Tribolium castaneum: one gene and its partners. The protein of the gene in region 2 purifies or fractionates together with the protein of the main gene of each other region. This does not show direct contact. Links are inferred from orthologs where the notes say so. Each region holds a gene or a part of one and is shown on either strand. Other genes may lie near its edges. The genes, in order: TH1, Nelf-E and negative elongation factor A.

Region 1 (10,526 bases), about 6.3 Mb from region 2:
TTTGCGATATTTTCTGTATGCTAGTGCCAATGGTTTGAGCCAACTTTTGGAAATCCTGCTCTCTGTTCTGCCCCCCGTTTTGGTACGAAAAACTATCCATATTTTATTGTTTATTAATCTCTTCTGTAAAATCAAACACTTTTATCATTATGATTTGTTTGCTTGGACTAAGGCAAAGAAAGCATAAAACGTTCCATGTCTTACCTAAAACATCAAATAAAATATCGTATTGTTAATCGGAAAGTAATAATTGTTATTTTATTTGCACTTTTAATCAATAACACTTGAGATTGTGAGTCACTGCTTTTATTATTTGACAGATGTCAAAAAATTAAAATCTCATTGACAGACAAGAATGTAAACATTACGGAAATAAATTTCCAAAGCTATACGAGGTATCCTCAAAAAGTAACGATCAATTTTTTTATTAACATAAAATTGGTAGAATTTCAAATAAAACATTTTTTTAACAAACATAATACAATAGTTTATTCCTGAACGGATTACACCGTGGAGATAATAGTTAAACAAATTTTTATATAATTTTAAAGAAAGATTTTGCAGAAAACGCTAAGAATTTTTAAGACTGTTTAAATCCCGTATCGTATTCTCGGTCATAATTTTACAGCACTCGACGTCCTTCAAAAATAGACAAACTCTTAGACAAAGTCTTATGAGGTCATTTAATTCTTTTGAGGTATCATTTATAGCTAAAAAATTAAAATCATTAATAGGAATTTGGTAAAATATAGCCTACTTGTGTGCTGTGATAGAAAGGCTGAAAGATCTTCTATGGCATTCTTACACTGTTTCATTACTACTTCTTGAAACACAGGAAACCAGTATTTTGTAAATGTAGCGATGCATTCAGTTAAAGTCTTTGATGATGGCTGACATATTGGCATTCTGTTACAGGCTTCTCCATAGGCATTTTTAGCGCATTCACGAATTACAGTATTACATAAACATGTCATGATATTTAAAATAGTCGCTGATTTATTCTGCGTTTTTGGCATTATTTCTTGAGAAAGCGGAATATTATTCTGCATTTTTTGTATTTTAAACATTATTTCTTTAGATGAGCATACGGGAATTTTATTGAAATGGGCTTTGTTTTTTAAATTAATGTCATTTGTGAGGAGAACCTAAAAAATTAAGTCACCCAAAATAATTCGATGTGGATTATTGTGTTACCATATTTTCATATTTTTCTAAAACTTGCATACAGCAAGCAATTATTTTGTTATCTTGATTTGCACCTACACTTTCCTGTTCATTAGCTTCCATTAGTGTCTGCCCTGAAAAAATAATTGCTATTACTTTTGTCACTGCTTCCTTATCCAATGAAAAAAGTACCGTGAATTTTTTGTTTACTAGAGCGACTCATGTTAAAGAATAAAAATAAAGTTCAATGGTCATAATAAAAAAATGCAAACACTTCTACGTGAAACATTGTTTCAGTATACCTTTCATTCTATTATGTTTACTACTCATAGTTTTTTCTATTAACTTGATGGCATCTTGAGCTTTCTGTCTGAGGCTACGTTTGTTTGAATCGCCCTTTATAAAGTCTAACTCTTCTGTAACAATCCAGGGAATGAAAATGACTGGCTCCCTGGGTCCTATAACAAGTGTGATAAATATTTATCCATTGTTACACATTTCTTTACCTTTAACAGCTAATGTAACAATGTTAGCAATTATATTCAGCTCTGATAAGAATATATTCGTGTCAACCACAATATAAAACTGACAAGAACTCGTAATTTGTGAATTTAAAGTATTATCACTTGTGCTTTTGGACTCCTCAATATCAGTCTAAAAAGACAATTAACTAGAATATTAAACTGAATAATTAAATCAAGAGAGTATACAGGACACCATTCCATATCCTCTTCTGAAACAACTGCTGTCTGTTGAAAGCCAACAGCAAATGGATTTGGAGATTCAGTGGTAAACACATTCGTTTGTGTTAGAAACTCTTCTTTAAAAATGAAAGGAGTTCCAGGTTCACTGTTCGAACATTCCCCTGAACTCGAGGCACTTTCCTTAATAAACAGTTTTGTAGACACTTCATGTTGCACTGAATCAGTTGGTCGTTTCCGCACACAATTCTTGTCTTTAAATTTTGGTACAGATTGAGCAGATTTTGAAACTTCTTCATTTAAGCTAGTCCTAAGCCTCTTTAACCTTTCATTAGCTATGTTCTTTTTCGGCGTAACACTAATGGTACGTTTCGTTCCATGTTTTAAATGACTATCCTCTTGAACAATTTTTTCCGGAAAAATTTTAGGATTCCTCTCATTTTTTCGTTTGGCTACGAGGACTTTTCGTTTGTCTGACATTTTAATTTTTAGCAAAAAAAACTTCTTTTAATTCATTTTCAAATAACAATTTTCTGTTTTCTCGCAAATCAGCTGACAACAACAACAAAACGCCATCTTAACTTGATCACGTGATATGTACAATGCACCCGAATTCGACCTGTTGTTAAGATCGACTTAACCGAATGTAGGTGAAACTGAAACTTTTTTACAAGTAACCAGTTAACGCCAGTTACTAATTACAACTCCCACACATACTAAAAAGAACTTGGGTTTTTGTAAACTGGTGTCAAATAATCTTAAATCTGCTTTATTTAGATTTACATTGGAAAGGCACGTGGGGGAAAGAACCAAGAGTTGGTAATTCTTGGGGAATTCGTGCGAGTCGACAATCTCGCCGACGCGCTAGACCTCATGGTTTCTAATTGTTGCCGGTTTTTATCGTTAATATTAAAAATTGGTGGGTTTTCATATAAATTGTTGTAATACAAAGTGAAAAATGTTGGTCTTATTTGAGACAGCGGCAGGTTACGCGCTGTTTAAGGTAATTCTGCAGTAAAGTTGTTGACAAACTTAACCTCAAATTTTCCATGCTTTCAGCTTCTGGATGAAAGCAAATTAAAAGAAGTTAACAATTTGTACCATGAATTTGATTCACCCGAGTCGGCAGGAAAAATGTACGACCTGTCCTAGTTTCAAAATGCAAACTTATTAGTAAAATTGTTTTAGTGTGAAGCTGAAACATTTCGAGAAGTTCAATGATACCACTGAAGCCCTGGCTGCCACGACTGCAGCCGTCGAGGGCAAAGTCTCGAAAAGCTTGAAGAAGGTGCTGAAGAAGCACATCGACCAAGAATTGCAGGACAAGCTGCTTGTGGCCGACGCCAAGTTAGGGTCTGCCATTAAAGAGAAGTTCAATTTACAATGCGTTTCGAATACAGCTGTCCAGGAGCTGATGCGGTGCATTCGGTCGCAATTGGACAGTTTGATAACGGGGTTACCTAAGAAGGAAATGACCGCGATGGCGTTAGGTTTAGCTCATTCCTTATCACGGTACAAGTTAAAATTCTCGCCTGATAAAATTGATACAATGATAGTCCAAGCGGTTTCGTTGCTTGATGACCTCGATAAAGAACTCAACAACTACATAATGAGGTGCCGCGAATGGTACGGTTGGCACTTTCCCGAGCTTGGGAAAATAATCACTGATAACGTTGCGTTCGTCAAAACTGTTAAAATCATCGGAACGCGTGATAACACCGCCAGTTCTGACCTCTCCGACATTCTCCCCGAAGAAATTGAGGAGAAAGTCAAGGAGGCAGCTGAAATATCAATGGGTACTGAGATATCCGACGACGATATTTTAAACATTCAGAACTTGTGCGACCAAGTTGTAGAAATTTCCAATTATCGCACCCAGTTGTACGACTATTTGAAGGCCCGTATGATGGCGATGGCCCCAAACCTGACAACGTTGGTTGGGGATTTGGTGGGCGCTCGTTTGATTTCGCACGCTGGGTCTTTGATAAACTTGGCCAAACATCCGGCCTCCACGGTGCAGATTTTGGGGGCTGAGAAGGCGCTATTCCGAGCCCTCAAGACCAAGAAAGACACCCCGAAGTACGGGTTGATCTACCACGCCCAGTTAGTGGGGCAAAGTAGCACCAAAAACAAGGGGAAAATGTCTCGAATGTTGGCGGCTAAAGCAGCCCTCGCAACTCGAGTCGATGCTCTAGGCGAAGACGGGAATTTCACGCTTGGGGCGGAGCACAAAGCCAAGTTGGAAGCACGTCTTAGAATTTTGGAAGAGGGGAATTTGAGGAGAATTAGCGGGACGGCGAAAGCCAAGGCCAAGTTTGAGAAATATCAAGGGGTTTCGGAAGTTCAGCAGTATCCTGCTGCTGCCGACTCGACGTTACCTTCGACTTCGAAGAGGAAGAGGTCAGAGTCGGAGCAAGTGAAGGAGGAGTTGAACACGACTCAGGAGACTCCCAAGCAGAAGAAGAAAAAGGTCAAGACGGATGAGACCAATGACAGTATCAAGGAGGAGGATGAGGACAGTGGTGAGGGCCAGAAGAAGAAAAAGAAGAAGAAGAAGGCGAAAGAGGAAGCGGAGGAAGAGGTGGAAGCGGAAGTTAAGGAAGAACCTGAGGTGACGCCTGGGAAGAAAAAGAAGAAGAAGAAGTCCGAGAGCGAAGCTCCGCCTGAAGTTGTTGAAGAGCCAACAAGTGGAAAAAAGAAAAAGAAGAAGAAGAGCATTTCCAAGGAAGATGAATAATTTAGCGGAAGGTTTTTTATTTTTTACAATAATAGACATTCTTATTATTAAGGTGCTGTTATACAACAGCGGTGTAATTTGCTTTGCAATAGACTAAAAACAAACAATAAGAAATTGATTTACCACGTTTTCCCACTCACCGATAAATTCAGACACGGGGTCGTTCTCCCCATCTCCTCTCATTGTTCCCGTAATTTCGTCATTTTCAACCATTGGCATAAATAAGTGGACGAATTCGGAGCTATAAGGGGGCCCGATGGTCTCCAAAACCTACAAAAATTGCATTTTCCGGTCATTTTTAACAAAGTAACTTACTTCCGTTACAAAGTAACGAATCAGGGATATGTCCGTGTCGCCTTTTTGCCAACACTGTTTTATGTACTTTACAACGGGTACCACACATCCAGCACATAGCAAATTTACCATTCTGTCAAGGACCATTTTGCGCATTTCAAGCTAACAAAAAAAAAACTGAAAAATATCGTAAAAAAATTGATAACTTACTTGGACTAAAATTTCCAGTTCGTCTTGCTTGGATTCAAACAACCTGATTAGTAAGTCGAGTACTTGATTATGGAGAAGAGGGTGACAAGTAACTACTTCATCCAAGAGCGCCAAATGAATTGGAGTGTGTTCTGTTGACAATTTAAAGTAACTTGCTTCGGTAACAGTGCACTCAACCCAACGGATAATTCCAACAGAAACGACTGGATACCTAAAAAAATAAATATAAGTTTCTTAGTTGACAATGTTTTTGATAATGGTGATTTACCGACATTTTATTTACAAAATTTATTCAGTTTTTATTAAAATATCATCTTAGAAACTTACCTGAGACACTGATACAGCGTTGCAAGTTCTGCCATTAGCTCTGAACTCCCTTTATTGGTATTACAAATATTGTGGACCGTTTCAATTGAATGAATAGTCGCTTGAAGTTCATCTTTATTGACCACTCTTTTTTGCCCTTTTTTGGCTTGCATTTCATAGACACTTGCTGCATAAGCTAACAAATGGATATATTTGGGCTTGTGGTCGGGGTTGAGTTTTACTCCAGGTTTAAACAAGGCATCAATCAATAATTCTGAAATTGTGAATTACCATATATTCAGAATCGTTAAAAAACAAACCCAGAAATTGCGGAGTTCTGATTAAATCAATGGGAGGAGGGTCTGGAGCGTTGTAATTTCTGTACAGAACTGTAATGTCGGCTGGATTAAGTGTATTTTTTGAAAGCATTGATGTCAAGGCCTGGCAGGCCAGAGGGTATGCAGAGGCGCCGTTTAACGCCATTGTGATTGGAGTTACGTCATGGCCACTGAAAATGGATAAATAATTTTTGTGTTTACTAGAAAAAATTATACTTTTTTTGGGCGCATTTCGTGATTTCTTGAGACAGTCGCTTCATGCTACTGCCACCCTTGGATTCTCGAGCTAACACGTGGATAATCACTTGACTGTAAACGTATGTGTGCTGGCCGTGGCACACCATTTTCTAGAAAAATAGATTTTTTTTCTTAGTGAATTCAAGTGTTAAATTGCATAATTTACTGCACACTCCTTGCTGGTATTTTGCCAGTCTTCTGGATTGGTCAAAAAACTAGCAATTGAAGTTTTGAGTACTCTAGAGAAGACTTCCAACTGTTGAGCTGCCGTTGAAATGCTTGTGATTTCAGCTTGGAAACCGGCGTCGGAAATAAGCTGCAATTACCACATTTACTCATGTTACACTTAAGGCAATTTTTACGAACCTTAATTGTGAAATTTAACATTAAGCAGTCTGGATACTCCTCAGCTAATCTATAAATCAGTGACCGCCACGTGGGATGTTCAATTAGCTGTGTCAGCCAAGCTGGCGTCTCACCCTCTTCTGTGAAAATCGTGTCAGCTTTTTTGGGATCAAATGTTTTCAAAATCATCTCTTTTAAGTGGTTCTCCACCATTGCTTGAACCGAAGTTACATTGACTCCACCTGTGATTAGCCATTCTGCTATCAAGTTAGCCATCTGGGCTACGGCGGTGTAGTTCTGTGATAATTCTTCAATCACTTGCAAGGGGTTTCCTCCAGACTGGAAATACCGTTTCAGCTGGGAGAAAATTCCCGGTTCCATTATGTAGTCTGAGGTCGAAAATTTCTCCGCGCATTCCTTAAGGACCTGCTCAGGGTTTTCCGTTTCATCGCCCGCATCTGACTAAAAATACGAGTTGTTGAAAGATTCAAGATTTCAATAAATGCTCACGTCATTATCGAGTCGATCAACGGTATCCCAATTTCTCTCGTCGTATTCTTCATCCATTGCAAGTTAATTACATATAACTGGGGCAGTTATATAAATTAAAACAATAAAAAAGTCGCGTCCTTAAACATAACATAACCTTCGAAATTTGACGTTACTACCAACTAGTAGTTATTTCGCGAAGTGTACGTTGGCGGCTTTGACCCACAAAGATTTGAAAATTATAAAGCAATTCCCAAATTTTCCGTAACTAGAATTTCATGGTACAATTTTATTAAATCCGGGACACATTCAAAGGTCCAAAATTGAATTAGTTGACTTTATTCACCAAATAATAAATTAATAAAACAGTACAATATTGTTTGGGAATTTTATAAACTGGATTGGCTAACATGGTTGACAGAACTTGACATGTTATGAAATTAAAGGTTATGAGAATCAAATTGTAATTTTTTGTAATTATTTTTTTAGTAATATAAACCGAAATGCACATAACGGTGCAATTTGGGTGAGAATTGTTTAATTTTTTGCTAAAACTGTAGTATAATTTAATATTTCAGGGGTGGTGCTGAATTGCTTTTTGATAACAAAAAGAGTCACGATGTAACATTACCTGAAAAAGACAAGGAATGTAAGGATAATAAGGATAATTCACTTTTTTACTGACTTTTAATCAAAGCATTTATCGCAAATAGTCTTTTATTTATCATTTTATCAATTTTTACTACACCTGATTTGATTAGCTTATTTTAAAGAAATGAAACACATTTGTGGATATCTTTTATACTTTATTGCTATTATGCTAACTGCTTAATATGCTTAACTTATATTGCAGGGATAATTAAGGATTTACTTATTTGGATTAAAGATAATTTATTGAAAGAGCGACCAGAACTGTTTTTGCAAGATGAGTCTGTGTAAGTATACCTACTAAATTTATTTTAGCTAAATTCAGACTAAATTATAAAATGTATTTTATTCTTTGGTGAATTATGAGCAGTAAGATTAAATAATACGTGTTTTTTTAATTTTCTTAATTATTTACATGCAGGATTCAGAAACCAGTCAGTATAACTCAAATTAGCAAAAAAATGGGATAATAAGCATTCTTAAAATTTACTTTATAAAAAAAGGTGAAAATCAGAATCGTTATTGAAGGACTCGCTTCTGTAAAAGTTAACAATGAGTGATTCCTGTCCCACAAAAGTTACTTGACGAAAAGTGAAATAAATACACAGATTGGCTTCTGAGCCCTCCATGTGATGAATACAGTATTTCATTTTTTGCTATCGTTGACAAATGAATTTGTTCCGAGTTTCATATTTCCCTTTTTTCCACGAAATTACAAAATCTGCTCTATTTTTATAATACTATCCTTGTTTCGATGCATGTATGCAGCAATATGATCCGCATAGGTAATTGATTCAGCATCTATTTACTCACGCCGCGTTGATTAGTTGCTCTTGTATAGCTTGTTACGTTCCGGCGCTTAAAAATGCGCTCACTCTTTTATTATTTTTTGTAGGCGACCTGGAATACTCGTCTTAATCAATGACGCAGATTGGGAATTGATGGTAAATTGCAGTTAGGGAATACAAATTTTTATCTTTATTTACATTTTAGGACACTGTTAACTATGTCATTCGGGAAAATGATAGGATATTGTTTATTTCCACATTACACGGGGGTTAATTTTATTGTATCTGTTTTTTTTTAAATAAAAGATTTGTTTATGATGTGTTTTTCTGCTTCCACTCTTTACTGTCATGACACCTTGGCCAATGACTCCTCTTGTTTTTTTTACTTACGATAGTTGGGTCGATTAATTCTATCTTTGTCAAAACATGGTTAAAAGGAAATGAGAATTTTTCTTCTATTGATAGATTATTATATGTATTGACCTGCATTTTTTGCCAAATTCGGGCAGTTTTTTTTTAATTATTGTCCGCTGGTTATGCTATGACAATCTGACAAAGCAAGATCTTGAGGAAGTTTCCAGAAACTAAAGAAAAGGCATATATTACTGAAAAAATAAGAAACTATTTTTTTTACATTTCACTATTATTGTGCTTACACTGTGCTAGAAACAGAAAAATTTTTTTTTGGAAACGCTTAAAATGTAGACTTTTACTTGGGCGCTCCGCATTCACCACTGGTTGAGTGACAATAAAGTAGCAGTTGTCTATGTCGCGGTTTTGGTGAGGGCATTAACAGTTCTCCATAATATTATCGGAGCAGCGGCGTCGTGTAAATAGGCTCGTAAATCGATGTGGTCAGATAGTTTACACCCAGTGTGGCCCTTATATGTAAATTATCGCTAGAGATCACATAACAAGATACACAGTGCATCACACAATAGTTTGTTGGTGTGGTGTTAACCCTCTTTCTATTCACCGGCGGAGCGCAATATTCGGAAATAATGATTTTATTTAAAATTTATCGCTCTGATCAGATATTGTAAGAGCCGAGAGCACGTAATATTATTACCTTTGTGGTACTTTCTGAATATCTAAGTGCAGTGTCAGCAGAAATAAGAAATCTTTACTATCTCATTGTTCACGATTCTACCGTAGATTTTACTTATGGATTATTGTCGTCCCAACCATTTCGAATATCTGATCTTTGCATAACTTCCCGCAACGTCTGGATAAATTAGCATAAAGTCGATGAGCCATCGAGAATTATGCGAAAAACCCGTTTTGTTTCCCTAACGATACATTATAATTGAGTTCGAGTTTAATTATCATAATGATGGAAACTTTACGCATAAAATCATTATTGTTATAAGTACACGGAGCGTTGTATTTAATGGCGAAAGAAGTGGCAATTATTTGAGAAAATTGGGGAAATTGGTCATTAAATTTCCATAAGTAGGAGGGAACGATTTCCTAAAAGAAATATACTAAATTAAGGTTAAGTTTTATGATTTTGCCGCTGTAAAGGATAAGGCGGACAGGACCATCGCAGGATAATGATGTCGTTTATATGGAGATCCTGTGCGTAGATGATGCTCAACCCGGTTGACTGCAGCACTGAGGTGTGTCGAGACATATGTAATGTCTTACCATACACTTTTTGAATCCAGTTCAAACAAATATTGACGAAATTGGGAATAAATTCTGATTTCGCGCTATTTACGATGCTACCTTTCCGACATTTGTACGTTTCTGCTTTCGGCTGTGTAATAAAACTGACATTAATCCGAAAATCATTTGAATGTGTTTCATTTTTAACCGCTGTAATCTCCTTTAGTCGATATTTACACCGGCTATTATACCTACTTTTAATACAATTTATTCGCTTTTTTTATTTTAAACCTGTTCATCCAAATTCGTATTTATGCAATTCAAAAATGTGCCTGTGTTTATGAGAAAAATTTACGTGCTATATCGCTCGCACGTTACGTTTCCGTGGGGTTCGGATTATGGGTTAATTTTGGAAAAGAGGGACTGTTATCCAGAGACCAGTCGTTTGCCCATACAATTACAGTTTTATTTGAAATTGTGAGTACCTTCGGGGAGTTTTAAAGTCAACACCTACGCAATGACTGCCCCAGCACGTTCAGATGCCTATTTTGTCGCCCGTGTTCACACTCTATTCACAAAAGCCACACAAGTATAGTCTTTCGTTCATTAATTTTAATACTTTAACCAATATTATGCTGTATCAAAATTAATAAACATTTAC
Region 2 (9,836 bases):
ACAGACGTGACCGTTCCCAATGATTTCAACGTATTTGTTAAAAAATAAATTATCAAGTTTCTGATACATAAATTTACATAAACACTCTTTCTTTCTTTCAAGTCTAAATTCATAAAAACTTATTCAAAAATAATATGAAATCAAAATGTGGATAACAAAAGCTTGTGCGTGATTGGATTGAGGAAAGAAAACAATTTCTGAAATCTATACTCCGATTTTAATTTTTCACTTTGAATAAATTATAATATGTTCACTTATACCTATATTGTTAAGTCTTGTATTTACGCAAGAAAAATGAAAAAAACAATTAAAAAATCAAAAAATTTCGAAAGTTCCACAATTTGAGCATCGAAAATAATCACCGCCGTCTTCGACTTGGCACTCGCCCCACGACCGCAAAAACCGCTCAAGCCTTGCGTAAAAATAGCCCCTCTTGCTTGTCGTCGTCGTCGTCGTCTCTAGCACAAAAATAAACCAGTGGCCGGCAGATCCCCGAGCGGGTCGCTCTCACCCAAAAATGTGATAGATATCGTGATAAAAGACTGGAAACAAAAGAGGCATGGAAGCGGCCAAACCGGCGATGCCGACCTACGTCGGGAGCAAGAAACGACGTCGTAGGAGATCTCTACAGGAAGGCCAACTGCGATCGGCCTCCGAAGGCCGCCACAGAACGGCAAAACGGAGAGATGTCTCAAGGGACTCCTCGACAGGATCGTCGGTCATGTCGCTGGATGTGAGGTGCGGTTGCCAGTATTTCCAATGCGACTCGCTGCTCCCTGATCGGATCAATCCTGTGGGCACGAGGCCCAACAGTCGGGTCAGCAATATGATGGTCACGAAATTTGGGTATGTAGCTATTTTTAGCGGGCTGAGAGCGACAATGGCCATTAGTGGAACGAATTCTATTGTGCGGTAATGTCTGTCTTTAAGTTGTTAAGCCACGTGAATGAATAGGTTTCTCTCTCAGAAAGACAAGTCACCAAAAATTTTAAAACACTCGCCCATGAAAGAAATAAATTTATTTGAGCGTAGGACTCTCGACAGTTAGAGCATTTCTATCACGATTTTTTTTCACTTTTAGTGATCACGAGTACGAACCAGTGAATCCACCCCCCGACATCCCATCGGCAGCACCTCCCACCGTTCACGTAATCGACTCAGAGCAGAACCTTCAGCCAAAACCAATAAGTCTGGCCAGTAGCACAACATCACTAGACCGCCGAATGTTAGGTTCCGAACCCTTGCAAACAGCACCCGATTACACAGTTGAAGAAATCCAAACCGAAATTGAAACCAAATACTTTACCAAAACACCACCGAAACAAGAAACCACCACCACAGTACACACAGTCACAGTCACCCAAAAACCAAAATCTGAAGGTCCCAGTAAACTACAACAAGCCCTCAAAACACAAACAGATAAATTCAAGACAAAACTACACGAGATCAAGCTGCCTCCAAAACCACACTTGAAAAAACCAAATTTCAAATTCGAGAAACCTAAGTTCAATTTACCGAAAATTCCCGATTCGGCGAAAGTCAATCTACCTTCGTTTAGTTTGCCACGCAGAAAACGGTCTCTGAAACAACGACAATACTCGACGGAATCAAATGCGGGCGATTCCAAGACAAATTATTTCGATTTTCGGACGTATCCAAGACTATTTAAGAAAAAACCTAAAGACGATAATTTCGATTCGTTTGCGAAAAATGAACGGGAAGTTTGTGAATTTGCAACAGTTCCACGGACGAAACGAAAGCAAGAAAGTGATGATCGTTGGGGTGGCAGAGACTCCATCCGAATTCCTCTCCATTCGGAAGATTCGATGGAAGAAGAAAGGGAAGACACGGCGTCTCATATCAGATACGACCAAGATATCGATATTGACGATGCCTACGAGAAGGAAAACCAGGAAATACACTCCGCTTCGCCCTTTAGTCACAATTACAACAGCCGATGGGACCATGGGAGCTTCCATCCCGAACCCAACCAACAAGTCACTGATTTAGACTCACCCATTGATAAGCCACAACCACATGAGAGTTTTGACACCAACACGAGTAAAGACATTCACTCGTCGGAAAGTTCCCTAGGGATACATCGACGAGGTGTTTTGGAAGAAATTGATTCAGATGAGTTTTTCCTCCGACAGAAGGGAATCTCACAGGATAATATCGAAGTCGGGATGTATTTAAGCTCCGAAATCCGGGAAGCTTTCAAATCCCCTAATAATGCTCTAAATGACTTGCAAACTGAACCTTACTCGTATGAAACTCGCGCTTCGAATACTTCACTCCCCGAGACTACGAAACGAAAAGTTGTGAAGAAACCTAAACGGAAGAAAACACCTCACGTGTCACAGGAACAATTATCCTTCGACCAGGACTCGGAACTTGAACTTGAAGCACCCCCTTCAAGACCAAAACGAAGAAGCAAAAGGAACAAGAAAAAGGAAGAAATTGTACCGTATCAAGAAACCATAGCTGTTGAAGACGAAAATCGAGTCATGATGTACGAGAATGAGCAAATGGAAGGAAAAGAACAACCGGAAATCAAAATCAGCGACCCTTACACCGGATATGAAAGTGAAGACGAAGAATTTAAAGAAGAAGAAAAACAACCAATGGCTCCGCCACGAAAACACCGCAGTTTAAAAAGTCTAAATTACTCGGAACACGAATCAATCCTTGGGGATTTTGACCAGGACCAGGACCAGGATGTAAGTCTCATTTAAAATAATTAAAATTTTAACAATTTCTTCCAGACTGAAGTTTACAAAACCGAACACGAGTACATAATCCCAGTCCCGGAGGAACCCCCCATTCGCCCCTCACGAACCCTCTCCCGTTCCAGCTCCAAGTCAATTCAAGACGAACCCCCTTCCCGACCTGCAAGATCTCGCTCCAGAACCCGATCACGAGCCGAATCCTTGACTGAAGAACAACCGTGTGTTGAAGAAACATGTGTCCAGGATTTCCGAGACCATATGGGTTACGCAATCGTTGATAAGAACATAAGAAGGGAACCACCATTACCACCACCAAAAACTCCCCCACGTCGGAAACGTTCGATTCAATCCGAACAGAAATTTTTCACTGTGCCTAGACCAGTCTCGGAGGAACCACCAGTACGACCCTTGAGGAATTATAGTACTTTGGGGCCCAGTAGACCACCGAGACGGAAACACCCTGTACCGAATATGACCGATGAGGAGAAGGAAAATATCGATATAACACAGTATATTGAAATTGATGAGGAACCAAACAGGGATTTACAATCAGGGGTTGTGATCCAGAAAATGAAAGACCGGCCTTTGCCAGCACCTCCAAGGCCCCCTCGGAATAAAACCAACAAGCCTTTGCACGACATCACAAGTCAGGAAAATATCGCGGTTGAGGAAAGTGAAGAACAAAAAGAAGTTGTAGAGGAAACGGAAGCTTCGACTCAAACTACTGAGATACGGTTGATAACTCCAACAAACTACACATATGAAGAAGAAACCATCACTCATGGTAGTCTGGTTGTGGAGCCTTTAAACGGGGCTAAAATCCTACCAGACCATGAGTTTACCCGGATTGATAAACCCAAAGAACGGACGATTCCGGTTGAGGAAGAAGATGAAGAAACTTCCGAAATCCCGGAAGAATTTTCCAAACTGAAGGATCCTCCACCGACAGTTACAGAACGCACTGTTATAGTCCAACCTGATTCAAACACCGAAGTTGAAGTTTTGAAAGCTCAGAAATTACAAGTGAGCGATTTGGATATCGATCGACTAAACGTGAACGAACTATTAGCCAGCAGAATTGTAGTATCAGAGATCGACAGTGGAAGCATCCAAACCAATGATCTGAGCTCCAAAAGTGGGGCCCTTAAAGTGGGCGAAATCGAGCTACCTCCAGGTCAGTGTTACAATTAACCATGTAATTGTAATGTAACATTCTCTGCTCCAGGTCTCATCCAGCAACTCCTCGACAAGCTCCAACCACCAGCACCACCACATGAAGAATCAGCATCACCAAGTGAACCACCCGAGCAAAAAAAAACTCCGATTGAACAAGTAACTGACGTTCCCCCCCAGCGACCCCCTCGCAAATCATCACTAGTTCTAGACGACCCCCCTACCCTTTCAGTCGTTGATTCCCCGACTGATCACCCCCTTACCGTTTCAGAGCGCCCCCCAGAGCCCCCGGTGAGAAGCGTCTCGATTGAGGAAACGCCGCCTCCGCGTCCCCCTGACCCCATCTACATGCCCCCTTCTTCACAGCCCCCTGCGAGTTTCTACGCTTTGCGAGCGCAACAATTCGTGGATGAGGACATTCCTATGGCGCCTTATCGAAGGCGGCGTCATCGTAAAACCCCCGTTTCTAGGTCGAGTTCGGAGGAGACGCCGCCCCCGGCACGACGACGTGTGCGCTCGCCTGAGCCCCCTTCCATTCCCCAGCTGACGGGGCAATTGGTGAGGGCGTGCGGAACGGCAGCTAATTGCACGATTAAAAGACTGATTGCGCATATTCGGGATAATTTGATACGGAATGCGGATGGGCAACAGGATTTGCATGTAATGATGGTGATTTTGTTGGTTTTAATTGCGGGATTGATTTTATTAGCGGGTGATGGGAAAACGGTGCATCATCATCACTGGGAGTACTTTAATCCGCCGAGGGACATGTAAGGGATTTTTCAATGGATTTGTTATGTAAATAAATTTTTAGTCAAACTATTATTCAATTTTTTATTGTTAATACTATTATAATTAAGCGGGTTTTTTCTTAATAAATCACCTTACGTAAGTTTAGTCAAACATATCATCATACGACACTAAATTTCTCTTATCCCTGTGATTGCCTTTTTGAGAATGACTTGACGCTATAAAAATGTTGTATCAAGTTTATAGTTTTTATTTTGTTGCTTTTTTTACCTAGAGTGGCCCACGCTGCGCTCGATGATGCGTCATTTATTGGCTCTATTTGGGGCTGTCGTCTCGCTAGAGTGACTTTGAGCTGAATCCCCGAAACCATACTCCCATCCATCTTTTAATTTTTCAGTTAATAAATTTGCAAATAAGAAATAAAATAAAATAACCAATAATACACCAAAAAAATTGAATATTAATGTCACAATCACCTGTTGCTTTCAAATAAACAAGAAAATTAAGACGCAGAATTTTATATTTCTTAATTAATGACCGAGTAAATAATACGTCAAAAAATCGCCGATTTAGTTCGAATATGGTGTTACTTTTATAGTTTTCCGCCAATTAATAAATGTAACAATTTCTAAACCAAAATCACAGTTTTCCTCCCGAAAGTTTGTGAAATTGTGCCGAAAATTCAATCAGTAAAAACACAAAATTTTGTCAAAGTTGCTGTTATTTTTACCGTTTTCAATAATTTAAAGACACTTTTAAAGCAAAAATCTTACAGTTTTTGCGATGATTACATTATTCTTGCCTTTTTTTTCTAAGACTAGCTCGTTTGTTATCCAGAAACACAATTATTTACAAAATGTAAGAAAAACAAGCAAATTAAGCCGAAAATACTGTTCTTCACCTTCTTCACGTCTTTAAGCACATTTTTGAGACAAACACAAAATTCTTTTTTAATTTTTTCGTGTTTTCTCTTTTGTAACTCAATAAAAAACTATTGTAAACAATGACCAAAAAATCACAAATAAAAACCTACCTCAGCTATGGCCCGTTCGGCGGCTTCCACCTTATCAAACGTGACAAACCCGCGACTAAAACCCAAACATGTAAAACCCCACATAAAAATTGTACCCCCTCATACTTTTTCTCAATCTCCATTGAAATATTCACAATATTTCCAATCGTTGAAAAATGCTTCTTCAAAAACTCCTCCGTTATCTTATACCCTGACACATAAATCGTATTCCCTTGCCTGGGTTTATCCGGCTTTTCCCTCTGTTTCTCAGTCAAACCCCTCTCTTCCCTATCACGCGCATTAGCAAAAGTATCATACAAATTCTTAATCCTTGGCGGCTTATTTTCGGGGTTATCAGGCCCATCGTCCATCTGCACAGCCGAAAAAGGCTGATAACCACTCACAATTTTATCCGAAATCAGTTTTCTTTCCAAGCCTCTAGGCCGTTTAAAGCCCTGTTCTGGCTGTTTTTGTTGTTTGGAAATGGCCGGAATGGCACCGGATTTGATAAGTTTTTTCGCAACCTCACGAGCATCTCGAGCCTCCGCTGGCCGTTTAGGCGTAATGGGCTTTTCGGGCTCGGGTTTGGGGGCTTTCAGGGCTTGCAAAGCCTTTTTCTGAGAGGAAGTTAGAAAAGGTTGTTTACACCGTTCCACTTACCTTTTTCTTAAGTTTCTGGTATTTGGCTTGGAGCATGAGCTCCTCTTCAGTGAAATTTGCCGGAAAATGAATGTAAACCATCGTTTAATCAAAAAAAAACTTGTCCAATTTGCAAACTGAATGACAGTTCGATGAATAAACATCAACACTAACAGCGGTTTAATGTGCAAAAGGTCGAAAATCACAGTACTAGTTCATAATTCAATTAATTTTAATTGTTTAATTTAGATAAACTATTCACTTTATAACCAATTCCAGTCAGCTAACTCAATGTCCAAAATTTAATACGCTAGTTATTTTTTTAATTCACGCAATACTGTACTGGGCCACTGTAAATTTCGATATGTCACACGTTGCCACACAAAAAATGCCAAAAAAACTACAAAACAACCACAATTAAATAATGAAAAAACTGGCAAAGTTTTGGTATATTAATGAATGAAATCATGTGAAGTTCGTTTTTAAAACGTAAATGAGTGTGTTTTTGCGCCCTGTCATCTATTTTTTCCCATTTGTGAGGCATGCAAAAGTAAGGTTAGGCCGGCATGTGTCCACTTTTTTCGGATTTTTGAATGTCATGTTTGCTTTATTTGTCAAAACCTAATTCTGGAAGTGATTTTAGTTGTATAGACTGCTTTTTCACACTTTTCCGAGTGCATTTAGTGTAAATTAACGATGAAATTTTACGTGGAATCTGTCTCAAAGTGTGCCCAACGTTTGGGGACTCTTTCAGAGATCGATGCCAAGCCTTCTGTCTCGATCAAGACTCCTGCAGTAATGCTCCACACACAGGTGAGTCCCCTATTTGGTTAACTGTCCTTAAAATTTAATTTAGGGCGGTCAAATCCCTCACATTACACATGAGGTGTTTAAACTGGTCAGTAGGGACCCCCAGATCTTGCAAATCCCTTTAGCTGGGATGCACACGTTTAAAGAGGCGATGCAGTATTACGAAGGGACCATTTCCAATTTCATTGGTAGTAAAGACAGTCTGACTTGTCTCACTCTTCAAGACCCTTGCAATATCACAAAACAGGGGCACAATTCCACGTTAAAAGTGCCCATTTGGACGAAAAACGGCAAGGTTTATTACGACGCTAAAAGCTACATGGACGTGGTGGAGTCTTTCAAGCCTGACATTTATTTCTTGCTCTCTGATGGAGACACCAATATCAGCAGTTCGGAAAAACGCATTTCAAAATCACTCAGTAACACAGTCAGTTTCTACAAGGAGTGTTTGGAGAGACACCGAAAATCGCAAACTTTAGCCAATTCGTTTGTGATTGCTCCTGTAGTGGGGGGTTATAAACAATTAGCTCGGGAAAAGTTTCTCAAATCGATTCTAGCAGATGTCAAAGATGTAGGTGGGTTTTTAATAGATGGACTTCATAATAATGGTCCCGAGACCGAGTTTTTGGAATTTGCTGAAATTGAGCCCGTGGTGAAAAATATTTTGGTATTTAACAACCGCTTCATTATTTCGAATTTTATGGTAATTTTTTTTTAGAATAAATTACCCACTGATAAACTACGGGTCATTCAAGGCTGTTGGAATCCCGTAAATGTTATTAATTTGGTCGAAATGGGGATTGATTTGTTTGACTCCTCATATTGTCATATTCTCACTGAAAGATCAGCAGCAATGACTTTTGCGATAGAACCAACAGATCAGACAGACACGTATGAAATAAATCTAAGAGACGCAAAGTAGGTACTTTTTGTTCAGTTAAATTTCTGATTAAATTGGTTCTAACATTATGTTGGCAATGATGATTTTTCAGGCTTTAGTAACAATAACTCACAAAGGAAAAGAGAGAATTTTGTTCAAAATTTAGTTAAAGGGTTGAAAAAACGAGTTTTTTTCGATAAAATTTGTGGTTCCCTTTATTTTTAACGAATTCTTGTGCTAAGTCGAAACAGCTAATATACAGCTGGAAAAAAACAATTTCGTTACAATTTAAGTGATTTTCGCGCAAAATAACGTTATTTTTGACAACATTTTGGGTTTTTTTGTATTACTTTTTTATGAAGTTTTGTTCAAGAAAATGAACCAAATGCAGCATATCACCAGAATTGACATTATTGTTGCCAACTTAATTCCAAAATCACAGCCCACTTTATCGAAATTTAATTGAATGCTTGGTGTATTTTCTCACAAAAAGTGTCAATTTTTTTCAGATATTTGGACGATTTTCAGCCAATTCTAACTGGTTGCAATTGCACGTCTTGCACAAAATATTCAAGGGCATACATACACCACTTGCTATCAGTACATGAGCTCCTGGGGCCAATCCTCGTGATGATGTGAATATTTTAATTAGAAGAAAAAATATAATTATGATTAATAATAATAATAATTTTCCAGACACAATGTGTACCACTATTTGCGATTTTTCGAAAAAATCCGCAAGTGCGTGAAATCAAACACCTTACAAGCACTCCAAGTGAGCATAACGGAACAATTCCAAAACCACCAAAAAACCAAGTGACGGGACACCAAATTGTACAAAATTTTCGTGTTGTACGACTGTTTTTCTATTATTTTTAAATAAATTGTCCGTTTGATAACTTGACTTAAGTCCCGCCCCCCTTACTTAACCTCGATTCGCAAAAAACAGCTGTTTTTTAAGGTTAAGTCATTCAGTTTGTTGTCTCCATTATTTACGTTTGTGCTCTAAATACTTAATTAAATGAATTATTTCACAATGAGTGATTTGTACAGTTAGTTGGTGTTAATTAATCGTGGCAGTTTTGAGGTTATGACTATTTTTAAACAATGGATCAGCAAAAATCAGAGATTAGCGATAAGTTAAGCCAACTTAAAGTGCAAGAAATGGGGCACCCACTTCAAGGGAACAATAATGAAGATTGTGAGACCGCTGAGGAGGCTATCACGACTGATTCTGAAGACTACCTATCAGAACCTTTAAGGTGAGTTATTTTACTTCAAAGAGTTGGAAATTAATTAGTGGACAGATATCGCAACTTCCAATATTCCACCACGACTTCCAATGATTCCAATTCAACACTAGTTGAAGAAAATTCGATTCCTGAAGAAAACGCCAATTTTTTCTCATACAACGGAGACAATCTCAACAATATACAAATTCCGATAGTTGGGTATGAGATTATGGAAGAAAGAGCGCGTTTTACGGTAATAAAATAAAATACCATTTTATCGTTTTAACGTGGAATAAAACAACGAATTTATCAAAAAAATGTAGGTTTACAAATTGCGCATTGAAAATAAAGTGAGTGGCGATTGCTGGTACGTTTTCCGGCGTTACACCGACTTTGTAAGGCTGTGCAATAGAATACGCAATTCCCACACCCACATTGTCCAGCTCCTCCCCCGAAAAAGGTGGTTGAAGAACAATTTCGATCCCTTATTTCTTGAAGAAAGAGTCAGCGGTTTGCAAACTCTGGTTAACGCAATACTTGCTGAACCGTCACTTATTACATCACAGGAAATACAGGATTTTTTCTGTCTGAATGAACCGCCGATTTATTCC
Region 3 (10,295 bases), on a different chromosome or scaffold from region 2:
TGGAATATTTCACCCAATTGTTTCCGATGCGACTGGCCGTGGGCGCAAAACCAGAGTCCCGCACAACGTCCAAAAGCGTCTCAGTTAGAGTCCCCGAGTTGGTTTTTTGGAACTCTTTAGTAATCGCCAAACCGTTGAGTCTCAAAACCATCACAGTGGAGCCCTTGTCGCTGCTTTTATCCGTCCATTGCTCCCTCAAAATGTACATAGCCCTGGACCAGTCCCCTCTCCAGTTTGCCCGGTTTGAAAGACGCCGCCTGTTGACAACCCCCTATCGATTGGGGCATGCAATGACCATGCACTACCTCTCGGGGGCCATTTTTGGGGCTGGTTGGGTCGTCAGTTCGCTCGAACTGCTTGGGAGTCCCAGTGGACTTGCGCGAGCGATGGGTATAGGGCTTCGCGACTTTATCAATTTGCCTTATCGGGGGCTTATACAGGGCCCTTGGGCTTTTCTAACTGGTGTGACTCATGGCTCGGCCTCTCTTATGAAACACGTGACAGCTGGGACGCTGCAATCTGTGACGAAGTTGGCGTCGAGTGTTGCAAGGAATTTGGATAGATTGACTCTGGATGAGGAGCATTTGAGACGGACGGAGGAACAGAGGAGGCAGAAACCACAAGGGGTGACGCAAGGATTTATGCAGGTATTTTCTTTAGTTAGTCTTCAGGGGAGGCCCAAATTTTTGGCATTAAATAAATGAGTATGGAATCCTGATGCAAAAAGCGTTACAATGGTGAAAAAATTTTATTACCGAAATATATGTTATTGTACACTACTAAACATTTAAATTTGAAATAATACCAAGATTATAATTAAGTTCGGTATAACATACTGCCTCCTAGTGCCTTCATGTAGCATTCGACATAGGTGATTAATAAAATTGTTATGTTCAATAATGAATTAAATGCAAAATAAGTGAAAATGAAGCTATTTTTTTCTTTACGAGGATACATAAATTAATAATTTGAAAAAAAATATATTAAAAAAAAACAGAAATTTTACAAGGTTTTGATTTTGTCACTATTTTTTAATGTTTTAATTTCTTTCAAATTAACGGGTTTATCTCCGTAAAGAAAAATTGTTTCCATTTTTTATTTTGCATTTAAGTGATTTTTTATCATACCCGAGATCGTAACTTTTTTTCCTTACCTCTGTCGAAAGTCAATTTAAGGAAGTACCATTGTACCAGGACTATTAGGAACTTAGTCAAAATAATTAATTGGTATTAGTACTACTTCAAATTTAAATGTTTAGCAGTGTAAAATTACGCAATATCTTGGTAATAAAAATTTTTATTAGAATTTTTTTTCAGTATTCGTTATTATATATACTGTTCTATAAAAGTAAAGGATATCTAATCTAATCACACATCAGTAAATATGCATCTGCCTTTTTTATATCTTCATTCTTTTTATTAGGTTTCAATGCTCGAAAAGTATTGTTTAGTATTTGTTTGTTTTTAAAATAATTAGACTTCTTTAACTGTGGTGGAACAAATGTGTACACTATCATTCCCTAAGTTATCTATGCGTATAAGTTAAGAACCTGTATTGAGATAAATATTATTTACAGTCTTCTAGAAGCTTAATTTTCTCGATTTTTTCGTAATATTTACTTTTTATTTTCTTATTTGTTTATTGTGAGCCTGTAACTATTTATTTCAAGAATTTTTTCGAAATGGTCAAAAAATTACGTTCTTTTAACTAATTCGTAAATAATAGTAGGTATACCAGTACGAAAAGTTGAACAGTGCTAGTCTACATACAGTGCTGGGCAAAAGTATGGATAAAACAAGCGTTTTTGCATGAATACAAAAAATAATTTGTATTATTAAGACTGTTAAAAATGTGATCATTTGTGAAGAATATTTTTTTTATAAATTCCTTTTAATTTTACCGATACCGTTTATGAGTTATGCAAAATTTAATTGTTTTAAATGGAAGTCTACTGCGACCATTTTTTGGTTAAAGATTACTAATTCAATAGTATTGTTTAAACAAGTTATTATTTTAATAAATTATTAAAGTTGCGTTCTGAGCTCATCATCAGTACATCACTCATTCATCAGTCTTTACCGAAGAGGTTGTTTTATTTATTCTCACCTTGTTGGGTGCACAAATAGTGGATATTACCATTCCATTGTAATAGACTAATGGAATACAGTTTAAAATAGATCAAAGAATGTCTTGTTACAGAAAGCTTTTTAGAAATTTTAAATTTCATTTCAAAATTTTATATTTTTTACCATTTTGCACAGGTTTTAAATAAGTAATTATGTAATTACTTAATAAGTTATCAATTCTTATTTGATGTATGTGACTAACTGATTACTGAGCTGGTTACAACCTATTACAAAAAAATTCTGTTAGGGCTTGACGGGACTCGGTATCAGTCTTTTGGGGGCTGTTGGAGGCATCGCCCACCACCCGCTTCAGAGCATAATGGCCGATGGGGCATCACCCAGGTCACTCGCAGCGGGTGTCGGATTAGGGCTAGTGGGAGTCTTAACTAAGCCTTTGAGTGGAGCTGCCGAACTGGTGGCGTTGACTGGTCAAGGTATAATAATCGTAAATTTACAAAACTGACTTAAAAAAATTAAAATTGTAGGATTATTGCAAGGGGCCGGGTGGAATCCCCTACCGCAACCTAGGAGTGACCTGGTCAAAAACCTGAATCTGTTAGATTCAAATTCAATGTTAAAATACGAATGGAAGTTACTAAGCTCGCTGACTTATAAAAATGTGCTTTTTGCGACTGAAGCAACGATGTTTAACGATTCTGAGTTCAAAGGAATTGGGTTGGTTTTGGCACCCGATGCTTTGATTATTGTGAATCTTGATGATGATAATGTGAAACGGATAATTAGTTTGGGGCAAATTCAAGTCGTTGCGAGTGATAACGACCCGACTTATCTATCCTTCAGGATTATGAAACAAAAGTGTGAGGAGGAGTGTGTGGTCGAAATGGACCCAGCGTCGAGGGCTCGAGTCGCCGATTATGTAAGAAGTACGGCAAGTTTGTTACAACTACCCGAAGTTAATCAACATTCCGTAATCATGGACGATACCAACGAACAGATTAATTGTTATGTGAATCCGCAAAATCGGAATTATTTCGTTTGCCTGCTAACACTAGCCAAACAAATGAACAGCAATTATAATTTTCCTGTGTTATAAACTGTTAATAAAAGTATGAAACTAAATGAGTGTTTAAATTTCCCGCTGTATTGTTGTAGTGCTTTGAGTGCTAGTCAGCTGGTTGTTGGCAGCACCGTTCCAAACGCAAAATGGCGAATGTGCGTGACAGCGATACGTCTTTATGGTTACACAATAAACTCGGAATTTCGAACGATTCCTGGACGGGGGGCTCAATATGCTCGCAATTGAACGCCGAAGTGTTACGCAACATCAAAGACTGTTTTCCCGATCTTCAAACCCAAGTGAAATTAAAGCTTTTGTTGAGTTTTTTTCACATCCCGCGCAGGAACCTCGAAGAAGTATGTTTACAAATAAAAGCCCCCACGGTTTCCACTTGTCGTTATTAACCCCTTGGTTGCGCCCCTTTTAACTTTGTCGTCTAATAAAGTTGTTTGAGGTTATGGCGTACTCACTTGCTACTTTGTTTTTAGTGGAAGTTAGAGCTGGAGCAAATCCTCGATGTGGCCGTCGCCGATTCGGAATTGTGGGTCGCGATGTTAGCTGAGGCTTTAAAAACGTACCCTTCAACGGGGTCCCTAAACACAGAAATTTCCGACTTGGACGAAGTGAGACCCATTTTCACCGATTTAGTTACAGATCTTCGGAAACTGGTTCGCAAACAAGCTGAGAATGTTATGCTACCCATGGAGTGCCACTATTTAAACAAATCAGCCCTTGTCTCTGTCGTAAGTCTCTGACATGTGTCACTTGTCACAATCACAACTTTTTTTTGTCAGGTTGGCCATAAACCAGAGCCTACTAAACACTTCACCATCAAAAAGAAACAAAAATCGGCAATTTTACGAGCAGATTTATTACAAAAATCTTCAGATGCGGCCTCAAATCTCAAAAAATCATCAGCTCCGGTCATTCCAGTGCGCTCGAGAGGCATGCCGCGCAAAATGACCGATACAAGTATGCATGATCGTTGTTTATTTGACAGTTGGTAGCATTATTTCTTGTAGCACCCCTGAAAGGAATCCCGAGTAGAGTCCCGACATCGGGCTTCCGCTCCGGTGCATTAAACAACAATATAAACAATCGGCCCCCATTGGCCCGCCCTCCAGCCGGACGCAAAGAAGGCGGAGTCAAACTCTTGGACATAGCCGATCAACCACTTGGCTACGCTGCGGCTAAAAAACGAAAGAAGATGCAAGAAATTGAAGACGCGAAGAAAAACACCGAAAATGCTGCCTTGCAAAGCCCCCCACCTGTTTCAGGCACGACCACCACTCCCGATTATGCAGCCGGTTTAAGCTCCACCCCAGCCTACGCGCCGCCCACGCCACAGCCCATCCTCGCACCAACCAGTAATTATTCGAATTTGAAGTTTGTTGTTCCTATTAATTTTTTTCCAGCAGCGTCTTCCATTTTAACAACTGCGGTAACAGCACCGGTAACTACGGTTACGACAGCGCAGGTGGCAACGCCGACCGTGAAACTGGCAACAGTGGCGGCGACACAGTTGCCAACTATGCGGCCTGTACCACCCCTATTGGCAACAACGCCAAGTGGGCAGAGGACGATTTTGACCGACCAATCGGTGAAGGCTGTCGGCCAAGTGTCAAATATTGCGATTGCGCAGAGGACGACTCAGGCCACGCCCACTGTGACGCATATCAGGATCCAGCCACAGACGACGTCGAATGCTTTGCAGAGGCGGGGCTTAGCATTAACGGTGGGTTTTTGATTACGAGTATATGTTAAAAAATTCTATTTTTTGTTTTTTTTTTTCACCAGAGGGAGCAAATGTTGGAAGCTCAGGATATGTTCCGAACTGCGAACAAAGTGACAAGGCCCGAGAAGGCGTTGATTTTGGGTTTTATGGCAGGGTCAAGGGATAATCCCTGTCCTCATTTGGGGAATATTGTCACTATTAAGTTGTCAGAGGATCAGGAAAATGTGTTGCAACCTGACGATACTTACCTGACTATGGTCGCAGAGACTCATTTCCAGATGAATTATAATAATGGAGAGTGGAAGAGAATCAAAAAGTACAAACATATTGATAATGTTGTTAATCAGATGCCACAAAATACACCAGCTCCTGCTGTTATTGGGAATTAAGAAAATTTTTTTGTTATTTATTTAACATAGGAATTGTTTTTTATTATGCTTCGTAAGAAAGAAATATTTATTTACGATTTTTAAAGTTTAAAAAAATCGAATGTAACGTTATGTTAGGTAAACAGTTTGATAAACTGAACGTTAAGTTTGTTGTACATATTTTGTAAATATTCTAATTTGTAAATAACTGAATAAAAAGCTACGCGCATGTTTACTTTTTTTTAATCGTTTGGAAAACGAACGAAATACAATGAAACCAACCCAAATCCCAAAATTTTGTAACATAAAAAAACTACAGGGTGATTCAAGTGTGTCGAGTCATCTCATGGATAAACGGCATCCAAAGTTCGTATGACAAAAACTTGTTTAATTTTTTTCTTTAGTAATCACACCATAGTCATCGTTTGCTATTAAATACTTTATTTTTCTCTTTATGTGATTTTTTGAAAATTTTTCTACAATTCCTTACAATTAAAATTAATTAATACTGTGTTGCTAAAAAAAAATTGGACATTCTGAAACATCCGCTTGAGTGTTTTGTGCAAGAATTGCGCAAAAGAAAAAAGCGCACAAGATAATGCTCACACAGAAAAAAGCTCACGGAAAAAACTCACATAGAAATAATCGCACTTAAAAGATACCTCATATGGAAACAACTCCAGACAGAAAAACAGTCCACACAGAATAACACCCACAAAGAAAAAAACTCACAAGAAAAAAGCTCACGCTAAAATTAACTCACTGGAAAAGAAATCTCTGTACCTAATCGTGGATAGATTTATAAATTTATAATTATTCGGATAACAATAAAAATATTTTATAATTTGAGAATCAGTTTTTGTTACTATTCAAGGAAAAAGTAAATTAACATATTCAAAAGTGTAACTATTCAATTTTTTTTTAGACAAAGAAACTTAATTTTATGTTGTAATTTTTTTGTTTTACTTATAAATTAAATTTTTTTTTAAATTGATTTCAGCTTTTCGGCGTATAGCTTAAACGGTACCTAAACCTATACTGAGTGATCTCTCCGCATTTGTCATTTTTTGCCATAATTTGTTGAAATCTTATTCACGCAAATTATAAATACCTATCAACAAATTATCCCGTAAGTTAGGGAATGATTTAGCAAAAATTTGAAGTTGAATGGGAAATAGGAAAACGCATCGTAAAGTAAAGTACATCAGAGTTTTTTCAAAAAATTGTTTTGGACCTAAATTTTAAGAACCGCTGAACCAGAATGATAAAAATTAGCTTGTTATTTCGCTAAAAAGGCCTTAAATTAAAAAAAAATTCGATAAAGGTACCTCGAGAGCGTTAAATGATAAAACGTTTACAACTGCATCACCCCGCAAATATTACAATCGACTCATTTGAAACGGTTTAGTTTTTTTTTTTTTCAAAATAACTAAGTTTTCGAGAAAATTGCTGCGATATTCGAATTGCTATACCCGGCTATAGCAAACACAAATACTTTTCTAACAATGATCATTTTAACAGAATTTAGATAATTGATGCAATCTCTATACGAAAGCGGAAACAAAAAAAAATGTTCATAACAATAACTGATAAAATTATCCCTCTTCTTTACGATTTCTGCAGGTCTTGGAGTGTTGAAAACCGCAACCTATATTATCAAAAGTGCACAAAAAGATGCCATAAAATGATTTTTTTAATCAGTTATGGAAGTGGAATAGGACAAACAAATAGTTTATTTACGAATAGGAACTAGTGGGCTTTCAAAAGAACGTGAGTTTTTATCCGTGTGGGCTTTTTTTGGTGTAGGTTTCCTTTCATGTGGGGTTTTTTCTTTGTGGGAATTATTCTGTATGAGCTTTTTTCGTGTGGGCTTTTTTCCATATGAGGTTTTTTCGACGTGGACTTTTTTCTTTGTGGGCATTTTTCTGTGTGAATTTTTTTCTTTGCGGGTTTTTATGTTTGTGGGCTTTTTTGGGAGCTTTTTTCTTGTGCGCATTTTTCGTGTGGGCTTTTTTCTGGTCAGCGGCGAAGGAGTATAGAATTGGAAAATTAGTTAATAATTATTATAATTGTTACAAATTTTGTGTGTAACGAAAAAAATTAATTTTACGATGTAATAAAACTCATCAAGTACCTACAACAACTTTATAACATTTTGTAAAATTCTTATTTGTTATTTTCACTATTTTTTTCCTTTCTCGTGTGTAAACGAGACGGTCAGTGTTTAATAATTAGTTTGTATTCATAGCAACAATCTTTATTGTTGTTTAAAATTGTTTAAATTGTCCGTTTCTATCACAACGAAAATAGCTCGGTACTTTTATTTTTGTACACAATTAAATTAAAAATAAAAATTAATTATGGAGCTCTGCTAGCTGTTAACTGTTAAAATTATCACACATATTTCTGATACACCTGTAAACTTGTAGCTCGTCCAGTTGTTTCAAATTTTTAAAAACATTAAAAAAAATCGCTTTCGGTAAAACCAGGAAAAAAGACTTCATATTCCTGAAAAAAATCCAACTTTTAAACTAATAACAGCTATTCTTCCACTTCAAATCCACACAACACCACAAGAAACCTCCATTTTCTCATTTGAAGTTGCGTCACAAACCGTCGGTTGGTCTCCCATGGGGACACACAAGCATAATTACATTCCGTGTAAAACCTAAATTTTCCATTAAGATGGATTTTCCATTTTAGCGCCAATAAATTTGAAGGTTGTCGTAAGCCGTTTACTTATTTTTTCGGTAATTTATTAACGCGATAAAAATGTAAACAGTGTCGACTTTAATGTGCACGGGAACAAAACATAAATGGAATATGTGTCTCTGGGGACGGCATTGTTTGGTGTAGACGCAACAAACTGCATTCCCAGATAAAGCACACTCGTCCCGGAGAAAACTAAAAAATAAATGAAACGAGAGTAAAAAGTGTGAAATGGGGAACAAAAAGCAGCTCGATGACCCGTTTTGATATTTACGTAACAAATTATCCCGATGCTAAAAGCGAAATGATATTTCGGGCTGTTATGGCAAAAAATATTCGGGTTGTTCGGAGTTGGGAGTGTTTTTAGCGACAAAGTTTGAAATTGTGATATTCGTTTCAGCGGAAAAAATGATAATAGTTTTATTAGTTTTACTTTGGTACAAGTTCCTTAATTGTTTCTTAACTTTTCTTTAATAAAAACGAAATTTTCAACATCAATCGCAAGCACAAATTGTACAGGGTGTTCCGTCCCAACCCCACATTAGAAGTATTTGGAGTTCTAGTAATGACAGTCATCTGAAAATTTGTATTGTATACAACCATAATCTTTTGGGTTCTGTTCAATGTAAATACAACATGGCGACATTTCCGGTTATACCGGAAGTCGCTTTCAGCTTCCTTATTTTGAATGGAAAGCTATATTTTTAATGCGTTTTTGGATTACTAGAATTATTTTAAGATAGTTTACATAAGCATTTCCTATAATTTTGCCGTTTACGAAATATTTAGAGTTTTCAATTTTTTTTTCGGATTTGCACCTTTAAGTTCAAAAATCGATAACTCCGCCATTTTTTGAAGTTTTAAAATATTTTTCAACTCATTTGAAAGAGAAAGTCTAGATCTTTCTCTTGGTGCTTTCAAATTTCTAAAAAAGATAACAAACCCCAAATTTTTAGAGTTAAGCTTGTAGAACTTTAAGCACCCATAACTAACAAGTGTGGCCTATGTGTGGCAATTGTCACAAAAAACGTATGTCTGGTTAACATTACAAAACAATGACAGATGACAGCTGTCAGTACCGTCAGTGTCAGACCAAAGATGCGGCCAAAAATTCACACGTTCAATTGAGCTTGCAGAGTAAATTCTTGAACGTCTGCATCATGATTTGCAATGTGATTTTTATCAAAAACTTCTAAATGCAAAAATAAGACAACATTGAAACAGTTGACAGCAAACCATATGAACTTATCGCGCAACCTACGTTCATGCTAGAAAGAGAAAACCACAGCAAACCACGACCAAAACAATTATTGAACACTTGTTATTATTTTTTTAAAATAAAATGCCACAAGGAAACGACAGAAAAAATGTGAGAAATCAAAGTTTTTCAAGCCAACATTCAATGAATATTCATTTTGTTTTTCCTGTTTTTTAAATTTTGAATAGAATTTGTCGTTTGTCGTTGATTTAATCAGAAATGTTTTTTTTTGGCAAACTATGCAAAAATAGCTGTGGTTAGTAAGGAATTTCCTATACAGGGTGTTTCACACAACTTAACGAGTCCTGCGCTTAAGGCACGCTCCCTAATATACAAAAGTTACAAAACATTAGATGCAAAAAAAATACACATTTAATGATTTAATTTTTAGAAATGCATGACAGACTTGACAAACTAATGACAGTTAACTGGTAATAGTCATAAATTGCTGTTTTTTAGAAACAATTTTTATGTGTTCTAACTTAATCAAAATCACTAACTAAACACACAAACTAACTAAAAATGTTGCAATTTTTTGAAGGGGTGAACAAACTAGAAAAAACTATCCAATTTTTTAAAATTTTTAATCGAGTACGAGGCCTTGTAAAATTACTTGAAACACCTTGTACCATAATAAAAAAAACAACATAACATGAAAATTATAACAGACAGGAATAGGGAATGCTAATACAGATAGATACAGAAAACAATCCTCCAACTAATAAAATAAAAATTGGGCCCATTTGAAAAAATTAAGTTATGAGTACTTGAAGTTATCCAAACTGAATTTTAAAAGTTTTGGATGTATTTTTTTCCAATTTTGAACACACTAAAGAACAGATATGAGTTTTCTCTTTTAATTCTTTAAATATGATTTCGAAATCTTTAAAACTAGGAGCTACCGATTTTTTCAAAATTTTTCAAAAAATCCTAAATATCTCAAAAACGGTTAAACGGTTAAACTCCCTTAAAATAACTTAACTAATCCAAAAACGCAGTGAAAAACGAAGCTTTCCATTTAAAATGAGAACTTTCATTGAACAGAACTTATGACAGATTATGGCTGAGTACTAACTTTCAG

What was found.
Region 1: the proteins of Nelf-E (region 2) and TH1 purify together in Homo sapiens (affinity purification with mass spectrometry; 9 studies listed by BioGRID and IntAct, counting the BioPlex papers as one, with this or other methods). This does not show direct contact. The link is inferred for Tribolium castaneum from reciprocal best matches to the Homo sapiens genes NELFE and NELFCD.
Region 3: the proteins of Nelf-E (region 2) and negative elongation factor A purify together in Homo sapiens (affinity purification with mass spectrometry; 9 studies listed by BioGRID and IntAct, counting the BioPlex papers as one, with this or other methods). This does not show direct contact. The link is inferred for Tribolium castaneum from reciprocal best matches to the Homo sapiens genes NELFE and NELFA.

What each region holds. Positions count from the first base shown.
Region 1 is NC_087394.1:30,825,435-30,835,960, forward strand, and holds TH1 (negative elongation factor D), read right to left. Parts: upstream 7,012-10,526; 5' UTR 6,900-7,011; coding exon 6,843-6,899; intron 6,795-6,842; coding exon 6,354-6,794; intron 6,304-6,353; coding exon 6,154-6,303; intron 6,098-6,153; coding exon 5,967-6,097; intron 5,921-5,966; coding exon 5,733-5,920; intron 5,687-5,732; coding exon 5,434-5,686; intron 5,318-5,433; coding exon 5,107-5,317; intron 5,059-5,106; coding exon 4,918-5,058; intron 4,873-4,917; coding exon 4,743-4,872; intron 4,717-4,742; exon of another isoform or gene 4,696-4,716; coding exon 4,661-4,695; 3' UTR 4,603-4,660; downstream 1-4,602. Other genes in the region: Syx7 (syntaxin-7), read right to left, coding at 1-100; transcriptional protein SWT1, read right to left, coding at 571-710, 758-1,145, 1,195-1,298, 1,467-1,622, 1,671-1,818, 1,875-2,345; nop5 (nucleolar protein 58), read left to right, coding at 2,824-2,868, 2,925-3,001, 3,054-4,602; Urm1 (ubiquitin-related modifier 1), read left to right, coding at 7,325-7,347, 7,400-7,470, 7,675-7,756, 8,365-8,413, 8,463-8,531. UniProt on the Homo sapiens protein: Essential component of the NELF complex, a complex that negatively regulates the elongation of transcription by RNA polymerase II.
Region 2 is NC_087394.1:37,087,701-37,097,536, forward strand, and holds Nelf-E (negative elongation factor E), read right to left. Parts: upstream 6,486-9,836; 5' UTR 6,406-6,485; coding exon 6,325-6,405; intron 6,282-6,324; coding exon 5,791-6,281; intron 5,741-5,790; coding exon 5,686-5,740; intron 5,035-5,685; coding exon 4,923-5,034; intron 4,871-4,922; coding exon 4,797-4,870; 3' UTR 4,723-4,796; downstream 1-4,722. Other genes in the region: titin, read left to right, coding at 1,082-2,720, 2,766-3,903, 3,955-4,676; queuine tRNA-ribosyltransferase accessory subunit 2, read left to right, coding at 7,000-7,116, 7,160-7,780, 7,832-8,031, 8,503-8,628, 8,690-8,813; Snx16 (sorting nexin-16), read left to right, coding at 9,101-9,255, 9,301-9,478, 9,549-9,836. UniProt on the Homo sapiens protein: Essential component of the NELF complex, a complex that negatively regulates the elongation of transcription by RNA polymerase II.
Region 3 is NC_087395.1:19,624,804-19,635,098, forward strand, and holds negative elongation factor A, read left to right. Parts: upstream 1-3,246; 5' UTR 3,247-3,290; coding exon 3,291-3,500; intron 3,501-3,632; coding exon 3,633-3,887; intron 3,888-3,938; coding exon 3,939-4,116; intron 4,117-4,166; coding exon 4,167-4,511; intron 4,512-4,559; coding exon 4,560-4,879; intron 4,880-4,941; coding exon 4,942-5,268; 3' UTR 5,269-5,476; downstream 5,477-10,295. Other genes in the region: intermembrane lipid transfer protein VPS13B, read left to right, coding at 1-647, 2,374-2,560, 2,612-3,180. UniProt on the Homo sapiens protein: Essential component of the NELF complex, a complex that negatively regulates the elongation of transcription by RNA polymerase II.